3 linked regions of the Oryctolagus cuniculus genome follow. The protein of the gene in region 1 interacts with the protein of each later gene in a biochemical or structural test. Links are inferred from orthologs where the notes say so. Each region holds a gene or a part of one and is shown on either strand. Other genes may lie near its edges.

Region 1 (2,965 bases):
CACCCAAACGAACAAACATGAAATAACTTACAAAGGCATGAAGCTGTTTATTGACAGTAATCAGCTTTCATCAAATTAAAAAATAGATATCTGTACATACACGGTTAACGAAGGCAGGCCAGAAAGAGTGTATCTGCAGGCTCAGCCTGGCCCTCCCCGGCTCCCTCCCCGCCCCCCGCCGCCCCTCCCCAGCCCTCCCGGTCGGGTTCTTAAGGAGTACTACAGAAGCGATCTACAGTCTCTATGGCAGTTTGTCACCCCGCCCCTCCCCCCCTTTAATACTGAATGAGATCGAATGTTAGGTCCATGCAGTTCTTGGTCAATGTTAAAGAAAAGTCTACCGTCGTGATGGCGCGGGGACAGCCCTTCCGCCGAGCGGGGCCGCCCGCAGGCGGCCGCTCCCTGGCTCCGCGCCAAGGGGAGCGCGCGCCAAGTCCTTCCCACTCGTGCACACTGGGGGCGCCGTCAGGACGCAACCCAGCCCGGCTTGGATACCCTTGGCCTTAGTCCTCGGACGCGTCTTTTTTATTTTTTTCTCGCTGTCGCAACCGGTCAAGTTCGCAAGACTGTCTCTCTGTTGGTTTTGTTTTCTTTTTCTTCGTCGCCCCTCAGCCCTCGACAGTCTGTCCTCAGAACGTTTGCAACTGCTGCGTTAGCATGAGTTGGCACCCGCTGTTAACGTGGTTCATGACTTTCTGTTTCAGCTGTGCCACCTGTTCCCTGAGCATGTTGGCCGTGGACGCCAGCTCCGAGTTCTGCGCTTTCAAGGTTTTCACTTTTTCCTCCAGCCGAGCGATCCTCTCCAGCTTCCTTTTCCGGCACTTGGAGGCGGCGATGCGGTTCCTCATGCGCTTCCTCTCCGCCTTGATCCGCTCCTGGGACTCCATGTCAATGGGGGACAGGGGCGGCGTCTCGCCGGGCATCTCGGGCACGGTCTGCGGCTCCTCCTTGAGCGCCTGCAGCCGCGGGTGCTGCACGGGGATCTGCTGGGGCAGGTGGTGCGGCGGCTGCGGCGGCGGCGGCGGCTGTTGCTGCTGGGGCTGCGCGGGAAAGGCCAGGCCGGCCGCGCCGTAGGAGGGCGCCCCGCCGCCGCTGCTCAGCGCGCTCGGGTTGAAGTTGCTGAGGTTGGCGTAGACAGGCGGCTCGCTGTGCAGGCCGGCGCTGAAGCCGCCGCTGCCGCCGCCGCCGCCCGCCACCGAGGCCACGGCCGGAGCCACCATGCCCGCCCCGCTGACCGGCTGCGCCGCGGACGTGACGCTGGGCAGCGTGTTCTGGCTGTGCAGCTCGGCCAGGGCGCGCACGAAGCCCTCGGCGAAGCCCTCCTGCTCGTCGGTCACGTTCTTGGGGCACAGGAACTGGGTGGGGGTCGGCGTGGTGGTGATGTGCCCGTTGCTGGACTGGATGATGAGGCGCTCCAGCTCGGGCGACGCCAGCTTGAGCAGCCCCACGTCGGGAGAGGTGAGGAGGTCCGAGTTCTTGGCGCGGAGGTGCGGCTTCAGGCTGCCCACCGGGTCGGCCAGGTTCAGGGTCATGCTCTGTTTCAGGATCTTGGGGTTACTGTAGCCGTAGGCGCCGCTCTCGGTCTGCAGGAACGAGGCGTTGAGGGCATCGTCGTAGAAGGTCGTTTCCATCTTTGCACTCATAGAACAGTCCGTCACTTCACGTGGGCTTACTTTGGGCTGCGCGCACAAGTTTCGGGGCCGCGACAGCGCGCTGGCGGGCGGGGAGCACCCCGCGCCTCCCCGGGCCTCTGGCAAAGGAAAAGTTTCGGAGCGCGCGCGCACCCGCGGGCTGTCTTCCCCCTGGGCGCCCCGCTCACCGGCCCCCGCTCCCGGGAGCGGCGGGGTTCAGACGCTCGCCCGCACTCCTCGGCCGCTCGCGCGCGCCTGCCCGCCTTTGAAAAGTCGCGGTCACTCACTGCGCGCCCTTCGGAGGCTCCCCGGCGGCGCGGCGCGGTGCCCCGCAGTGGCGGCGGGTCTCGGCCGCCCGGACTCCCGGAGACTGTGCCCTCTTCCGCTGCGAGGGGCAGGGGGCTCCCGGCGGCAGCGGCTCGCGCCGGTCAAGTTCAGAGGCCGGGGCGAGCGGAGCCGCGCGCGCGTCGCTCCTCTTCGCTCCTCTCTCCGCCGCCTTGCTTTTCTTTGCTGCCGCCGCGGCAAGCCCAAATAGCGCAGGAAAGGTTTGCAAAAGTTCGCTCCGGGACTCCGGGCCACTTGTCCCCGGTCCTCCCGGCTCGGAAAGTTCTTGGCCGCTGCAGTCGCCGCTCTCCGCGGCTGTCAGCTGCGCTCGTGCGGTGGGGCTCTCCTCCCCGGGGGCGGCTGGAGAAGCAGCAGCTCTCCAGGTGCTCCCCCCAAACACCAGCCCGGGATCCACAGGCGCTAGCGCGGGGCAGTTGGCAAAGCAACGCAGCCGTGCGGATCGCACTCTACGGGCGTCCTGGCGGGGCGGGCGGACTGTGTCTGTGTGTCTGTCTCCCTCAATCCGCGCACCTCCACTCCCGCCTCGCCGCTTCAGCCACACTCAGTGCAACTCTGAGCCCTTATCCAGCCCGAGCGCAACACTTATCTGCTACCAGTCAACCCCTAAAAATAGCCCATGATGTCACCCCAAGGCCTTCCCATTGGCTCGCGTCGCTCTCTGGGGGGCGGGCCCGCCCGTCGCCATGGAGACCCCACCCTAGAAGATTCTTCTTCGGGCCCGCGGAGGCTCACGGGATGAGGTAATGCTCCGCTGCCCTCCTACAGTTGGGCCCTTCTTTCTCCTCCTCTCCCCCTCCCCCTCCGCGCGCCTCTAGCCCCTCTCTTCCCGGTCCCCTCCCGGCCCGTCTTTCCCGGCCCGCCCGGTGCATTGTGGGCTGACGTCTTGGGGTTTGACTGTCTAGTGACGGTGGCCGCCGCGAGCGAGCGAGCGGGCGGGCGGGCGGCCGGACGCTCGCAGCCGCTGACGGAGGCGGGGGCTCAAGTTCAGG
Region 2 (3,749 bases), on another chromosome or scaffold:
AGTGAGTGAGGGAGTAGGAAGTGGAACTCAGGTCTGTTAGTCTCCAAACCACCGTTGGCAAACCTCTACCCCACAGGGCGTGTGCCTGGAAGAGCTGTGGTGTCAGTGCTGCCGGGGCAGACTGGGAAAGCTAGGGGCATAGCTGTGTGGAGCTTGCTGGACGCCAGCCCTCACGCGGCCAGGCCGAGCAGGTCCTCGGGAGAGTGGCTGCAGGCCGCGCTTACACTCGCACCTGACGGCAAACACGTGACGCCACCAACACGCCAAGCGATCTGAAGTGCCCTGGCAACGTGCTCATTTGAACAATGTGTGGCTGACATTGCTTCAGAGGTTACAGTGAATCAGAAAGCAAAGTTATGATGTGTCCTGAAAACTCTTAGCTTCACACGAGATCTGAGCCAAACTTAGTCAACTCCTTCAAGGGGGAATCGTGAAACAGGGAGACCGAAAAACGGAGCTACTGCACAAAAACTCTGCAGCCAGTTACAGAAATCATGGAAAAGAAGAGCAGTATTTGCTTTCCAGAGCCCAGTGAGAAGATATCAAGGGAAACACACACACACACACACACACACACACACAAACCTTCTTTCTAAAGAGTCTAAAAACCAAGAGGTTAGTGGGGTTGCAAACACAGAAAGCTACTCAATTATTCATGGAAAGCAAATAACACAAACTAATGGATATTTTAAGTTATCTTATCTGGCCTTGCATTCCAAATAAGACAGGCACATATCATCTCCCCAACTTCCAGTAGGAAAGAAGTCCCAGCATATGCAAAAATATAAAGATATAAAAGGAGAAGAATAAATAGTTTACATTATAATAGAATAGAGACAGGTGTAACAAGGTAATCTTGTAGAGAGGCCAAGAAGTCTTGCTAAAGACACGCAGACCGTCAAGGATCCTGGCTTTGTCTCTTACTGTCAGATGGCCTGGAGTAAATGACCGAACTTCTCTGAGTTTTCCGTTCCCGACTGTGATTCATTCATTCTTTCGGAGCACCTGCAGGTGTGCTAGGCACTGCCTATGCGGTGGGGACACAATTCCTGAACAGATGTTGGTGCTCCCCGCTGCCTTCGGCCAACAGCCTGGCGCTGGGGGCTGGCACCGGACACAGCGAGATTCTATCCTGAAGCTCCCGTGGGCACGCAGCCTGCTCTCCTGAAGCTACCTGCCCTAACCGAGGCTGCTGTTTTTAATTGAATCTTCACAGTGCTTTTCACTAAATCATGCCTCTGGGAGCTGACACGCTAAACTGGATTTATTACCTATCAGGGATGCGTGTCACACCTGCCCGCCCGGCAGAACTACTTAAGGCAGAAAGAGGGGAGTACAATTTTGAGATGTTCCTATATGATGAAGCACGTCTCACTCAGTTTTCACAAAAAATCCTGGGAGGTCGACGTTATTCTACTCATTTCACAAATGGGGAAACCGAGGCACGGAGAGATTAAGCGAATTGCCGAGGCTGCTCAGCCTGGGTGGCGATGCCGAGGCCCAAAGGCGCCGGACACACACCGGGGAGAGAGCGCGAGAACCAGCCCCAACCGCCGCCAAGCGGAGCTGGGCGCTAAGGCTCCGAGGGGCCGTCCCCGCCGGCAGCCTAGTCCCAGTTTTCTGCGTGCACAGCTCTAAGTGCTGCTGGGGACGGCGCGGAGGACCGACTGGGAGCCGGCAGGGGGGGTAGGGGGACGAGGGGGTTCTACCAGAGCTGGGGGTGGAGTCTCCCCGCCGCGGCCCCCGCCCCACACCCCCAGGCTGACCCGTACCGCGTTCCCCATTCCAGCAGCCGCCAGAGGAGGGTGGGTGTTGGGAGTGGCTGGGGACGAGCCGCCCCTTTGGGTTGAAGGGCCCCTCCGGAAACGCCGGCTGCGGGGTGGTGGCCTTCGGCGGCGCCCGGACCGACGGCCCTGGGGCAGCGTGGACCCCACGTGCCAGGATGCGCGGGCAGTGCCCTGCCACAGTGGACGTCCGCTCCCTGCGGCCTTTCCACTCTCGGAGGACTCGGAGCCCTCCCAGGCGCGGCCGAAGCGCACGCCGGGACCCCCGGGCCATCGCCCCCACGCCCCTAGTCCCACTCGTCTCTGGCGCCGGCAGCGCCCTCCACCCGCGAGCCCCCGCGGCCCTCCCAGAGTCTCTCGCCCACTACCTGCGGCTGCTGCTGATGCCCCGGCGCCGCGACGCTCCTCTGCAGGACGCCGCCAGCGGCCGGGAGCCCCTGCGACATGCCGGGCGCTGGTGCAGCCGGCCCGCCCCGCGCGCAGCCCGGTGGAGGCGCGGCCCGGCCCGCGGCGCCCTGCACGCGGGGCCCGGGCTACGAGCGCCCTCCGACCGCCCGCATCGCCTCGCCCGCACCTGGCCGTCGGCTTGCGCCCCGCCCCCGCGGGCTTCCCGCTCTCCCGGCTCGCCGGCGCCGCGCGTCCGCCCGGGCTCCCCACCCCCGGGTCGCGGCCCGCGGTCCTTCCCGTCCCCAAGTGCGCCCCGCCTCCTTCTCCCACCTCCGCCCCGTTTCCTCCTCTCCCCGCCCTCTGCTGCGCCTCGGGGTCCCCAATCCCACCTCAGGCGCGGCTTTTCGCTGGGGCCCCGAAGTCACGTGGCGGCTCGGAAACCGAGGAGGGAACGCGACGCCCACCCGCGGGAGGCGACGCTGGGGTGGGTGGGGGTCGGGAGGCACAGCCTTGGGGGCACTCGGGGTGAGAAACGCAGCTGGGTGGTCGGGGGTGGTGGTTTTGTCTGCGCATTGCCTACGCCTCCCTGCCGCCCCCCAGCCCCGGCGGGAGTCGGGCTTTGGGGGCTCTCTCCGGGCACTCGGCCTTTGGGTCGCCACCGTCACTCGGTCCTCAGCCCAGGAGGCGCAGGCGCGGGGAGGGGCGGCAGCCTCACGCGTCGCGCCGCGCGCCCAGAGCGCGGGCGTTCCCGGGCCTTTCTGCGGGGAGCACCTGCCCTTTCTGTTCCCGGTCCTGCCGGGCTGCGGGAAGGAGCGAGGCGGGGCGGCCCCGAGCGTGGATTCCGTGAGCCGGAGCGTGGGCAGGGGCCACTGTCCTGGACGGGAACAGTGACGGCCGTCCCAGGGAGCGAATCCCACACGTTGGACAACGTCTCTGGCGACCGGATCAGGACTGTGGCCCCATCATCCTGAAGTCAGATGGACCAGAACCGTTTCCTTGTTCAAGATTGGAGCGGCAGGTGCCCTGCCTGTAGGTTTAAGATGTGTGGTTGCTGCCACACGCCCATGCCGCAGCGGGGACAGGGCAAAGGCAGGGCGTATTGCACCCCCCACCCCCAACCTGTCTGCCACTTAATAAGTGTTGAACGTGGTTCCAGCAAATAAAGAACGAGCGGTTACCGGCTTGAGGTCTGCGAGGAGTCAGCGCTGGGAAGGGAAGCGAGCCGCGACTCCGAGTGGGCGGGTGGGCAGGTCACAAATGCCTTCCCAGTGTAGTCGCTGAGGCCTTCAGGTTTGTGGGCAGCGGGGGGGATGGGGCACGAGAAATTCTGATTCCCAGGCCAGGGCACGTGACTGTCGGCCAGGATTTAAGACTCGTCTTCAAAGCCTTCAGAGCAGCAGGAAAGCCAGTGGGAAGTCCGGGAGAGCAGGGGAGCTGGGCGGTAGGGAAGAGGCGAGAGGGCGCAGGGCAGACGGGGACTGGGGGCGGGGGGGGGAATACTCTTTCAGATCCCTGTGTCGCACCCCGCGCAGGCCAGCACCTCGAACAGGTGCACACGATGTACCCAGCACAGCGCAC
Region 3 (3,152 bases), on another chromosome or scaffold:
ATTTATAAAATAAAAATCAAACACTGTTCTGAAGTCCTGCTTTCAAATACTCTTCAGAGTTGACCTGAAATCATCTCACTAATTTAAGAGGTACATTAAATAACCACCAGATCATCTCAAGCACACCTTCGTCAGCGTCAGCAGTTAGAATTTACGAGTTGTACAACAACTGCATTCTGACCAAACCCTCTAGTAAACAGTGCCATACAATTTACAGTGACATCGATAACATTTGGATTGCAGCCACGGGCGTGCTACGGCTAACAGCGCACAGCCCATGCGGCAAAGCCTCAGCCTGGGGGAAGCGACAGAGAGAGGCTGGCGCGTGAGCAGCACAGGGTGAGGGCCTGTGCCGTCTGCCTCATGACTCAGCGCTGATGTGGGCGCAGGAGGACTGGCTCCTGCAGGCCTCTGGGTCCACCCTCGGAGGCTTCAGCCTTCAAAGGCAGCTGGTCTGGACCCTTCCTCTGCCACCACAGGTGGCCGGCCACAAATTTTGTTCTATGTCAATCAACAGGTACTGGTCCAAAGAGGACTGTTTTCTTGCTACCCCAGAACTGAGCAGTTAAGAAATCCCTATATACACTACTTTGGCTCCTATGTAAATAGCGCTCCTCCTGGGATGTGTTCTGTTACAAAGCATGTCAGAAATCACAGGAGGCCACGGAGTGAGCAAACCCCTGGACAGAAATCAAATCCTCCCCAGGAGTATAATCACTGGCACCTGCCTGAACCCTCTGGGGCCAGATTTGACCTTCCCCGTTTGAAGGGAAGGAGCCAAACATCAGACCCTTTGTAGAGCTTACCAGAAAATTCCATACTTCTGATCCTTGGAGTGACCCTCAGTGTCTAAAAATCCTATTAAAAACATTGCTGCATTAGCTACCAACTTGTTTGATTAACATAAAAGGGAGTTTAATGTAAACAATATTTCTAGATAACCAAGTGATCACATTAGCCATCCTTTTTTTTTTTTCCCCCAGCCTTCTTCAATATGACATGTTTAACTCTGGTTTCTATCACAAACAAAACAAAAAAAAATGTAGTACTTGATATTTTTCTTAATATAAGTACATTTAAATAATTAAAAAAGTATCAACACGTAAGTAAATGTCTGAACATCAAGATACATAAATATCTCGGGATTCCTTGTGGGAATACAGTAGTTAAAAAAAATGACCCAAAGCTGTAGCTGTCTCTCAAAAACGATACAGCTACCCAAAAGTCCGAAAGTTAAATAAAACTTACAGAAAAGGGAATCATATGGTTCTTTCAATTGTCAAAGCAAGAAAGAAGCAAGCTCAAATTTGTATCTCGTGTACATGAACATAAAAACCACCCCAATGCAAATACGCATCTTGCCATTTATAAGGTGCGGAAAAGAAACACAATAAGGATTCGATGCCAACCAGGACGAGTTGCACCCCTCTTCCCCCGCCCCCGGCCCCCAGATTCCACACTCTTTGGAAGAAACGACTTGGCTAAAAAGTGAAGTCAAGGGTATAAAATCTCTCTTTTATTCACAGCATTGCTAAATCAGAAGCATTCACAGTTTCCCTCCGGGATCCTCCTGCGGCTGGGCCCGGGCTCCGGCGCCAGGCCGCTCAGTAGGGCCGCCACACGGCCTCCTCCAGGCGCGCGGCGGGCGCCATGTTGGTGGGCGAGTTGCTGTGGCTGCCCTCGGCCTCCACCACGTCGCTCTGGTTCGGGAGGCTGGGGTTGAGCAGCGCCGAGCCCGTGGAGGCGTTGGTGCAGGGCGGCAGGATGCGCGGCGGCGAGCGCTCGCCGCCCACCATGGAGAACTGGTAGGAGCCGGCCGAGGCGCCGTAGTACAGGTGGTAGGAGGGCGAGCTGGCCTGGAACGGGCCGCCCTGCGCCTGCGACGAGCCGGGGTAGGGCGGCGGCAGGTACGTGTGGTAGCGCGTGGCCGAGCTCATGGCCGACATCCCGATGCCGATGCCCGACGTGACGGGCGTCGGGGAGTAGGTGAAGGCGCCGGGGTAGTGCATGCGAGGGTCTGAGATGGAGGGCAGCGCGGGGAACTGGCGCGGGTCGCTGAACGTCAGGTCGGGGGCCGCTGCAGGGCGGGCGAGAAAACAGCGCGTGAGTCGGGCTGGGGAAGCCATGGCGGGTAACCACCCAGCGTGCCAGGGCCCGGGAAGGTGGGGACTACCCAGCATGCCGTGGCCCAGGAAGAGAGGGCTACCCAGAATGCCGTGGTCCAGGAAGAGGGGCTACCCAGAATGCCACGGTCCAGGAAGGTGGGGACTACCCAGCATGCCAGGGCCAAGGAAAGTGGGAACTACCCAGCGTGCCAGGGCCCAGGAAGAGGGGGACTACCCAGACGGTCCAGGAAGAGGGGCTACCCAGTGTGCCAGGGCCCAGGAAGAGGGGGCTACCCAGAATGCCACGGTCCAGGAAGAGGGGGCTACCCAGTGTGCCAGGGCCAAGGAAAGTGGGAACTACCCAGCATGCCACAGCCTGGGAAGGTGGGGACTACCCAGTGTGCCAGGGCCCAGGAAGGTGGAGACTACCCAGAATGCCACGGTCCAGGAAGAGGGGCTACCCAGCATGCCAAGGCCCTGGAAGGTGAGGACTACCCTGTGTGCCAAGGCCCTTAAGGTAGGCACTACCCAACGTGCCACGGTCTGGGAAGGTGGGGACTACCCAGAATGCCATGGTCCAGGAAGAGGGGCCTACCCAGCATGCCAGGGCCCGGGAAGGTGGGGGACTACCCAGAATGTCACGGCCCAAGAAGTTGGGGACTACCCAGCATGCCACGGGCCAGGAAGGTGGGGACAACCCAGATTGCGACAGTCCAGGAAGGTGGGCACTACCCAGCATGCCACGGCCCAGGAAGGTGGGCACTACCCAGCATGCCATGGTCCAGGAGGATGGGGACTACTCAGGGGTCTACCCAGGGGACTACGGGCCAGGTAGACGGGGAGGGTGGTGGGGTGAAGTACAGTCATGGGTGACAGTCTATTAAGAGAACATCAGGTAATTTAATAAGGCATGTGACATATGACACGATACAGCAGAGCATTACATAAACGCTAGGAATGTAGTATATAACAGAATGGATACGTGTGCAGTGTACATGTACTATAATATGATATGTCTGGAATACTGATCTAATCCATGTCAGCAAA

The links.
Region 2: the proteins of JUN (region 1) and BATF3 form a complex in vitro, tested with the Homo sapiens proteins (2 studies listed by BioGRID and IntAct, with this or other methods). The link is inferred for Oryctolagus cuniculus from reciprocal best matches to the Homo sapiens genes JUN and BATF3.
Region 3: the proteins of JUN (region 1) and RUNX1 form a complex in vitro, tested with the Homo sapiens proteins (2 studies listed by BioGRID). The link is inferred for Oryctolagus cuniculus from reciprocal best matches to the Homo sapiens genes JUN and RUNX1.

Annotation. Positions count from the first base shown.
Region 1 is NC_091438.1:114,258,684-114,261,648, reverse strand, and holds JUN (transcription factor Jun), read right to left. Parts: upstream 1,644-2,965; coding exon 630-1,643; 3' UTR 529-629; downstream 1-528. UniProt on the Homo sapiens protein: Transcription factor that recognizes and binds to the AP-1 consensus motif 5'-TGA[GC]TCA-3'.
Region 2 is NC_091444.1:27,153,699-27,157,447, forward strand, and holds the start of BATF3 (basic leucine zipper transcriptional factor ATF-like 3), read right to left. Parts: upstream 2,456-3,749; 5' UTR 2,231-2,455; coding exon 2,153-2,230; intron 1-2,152. UniProt on the Homo sapiens protein: AP-1 family transcription factor that controls the differentiation of CD8(+) thymic conventional dendritic cells in the immune system.
Region 3 is NC_091435.1:10,277,014-10,280,165, reverse strand, and holds part of RUNX1 (runt-related transcription factor 1), read right to left. Parts: intron 2,590-3,152; exon of another isoform or gene 2,078-2,589; coding exon 1,605-2,077; 3' UTR 1-1,604.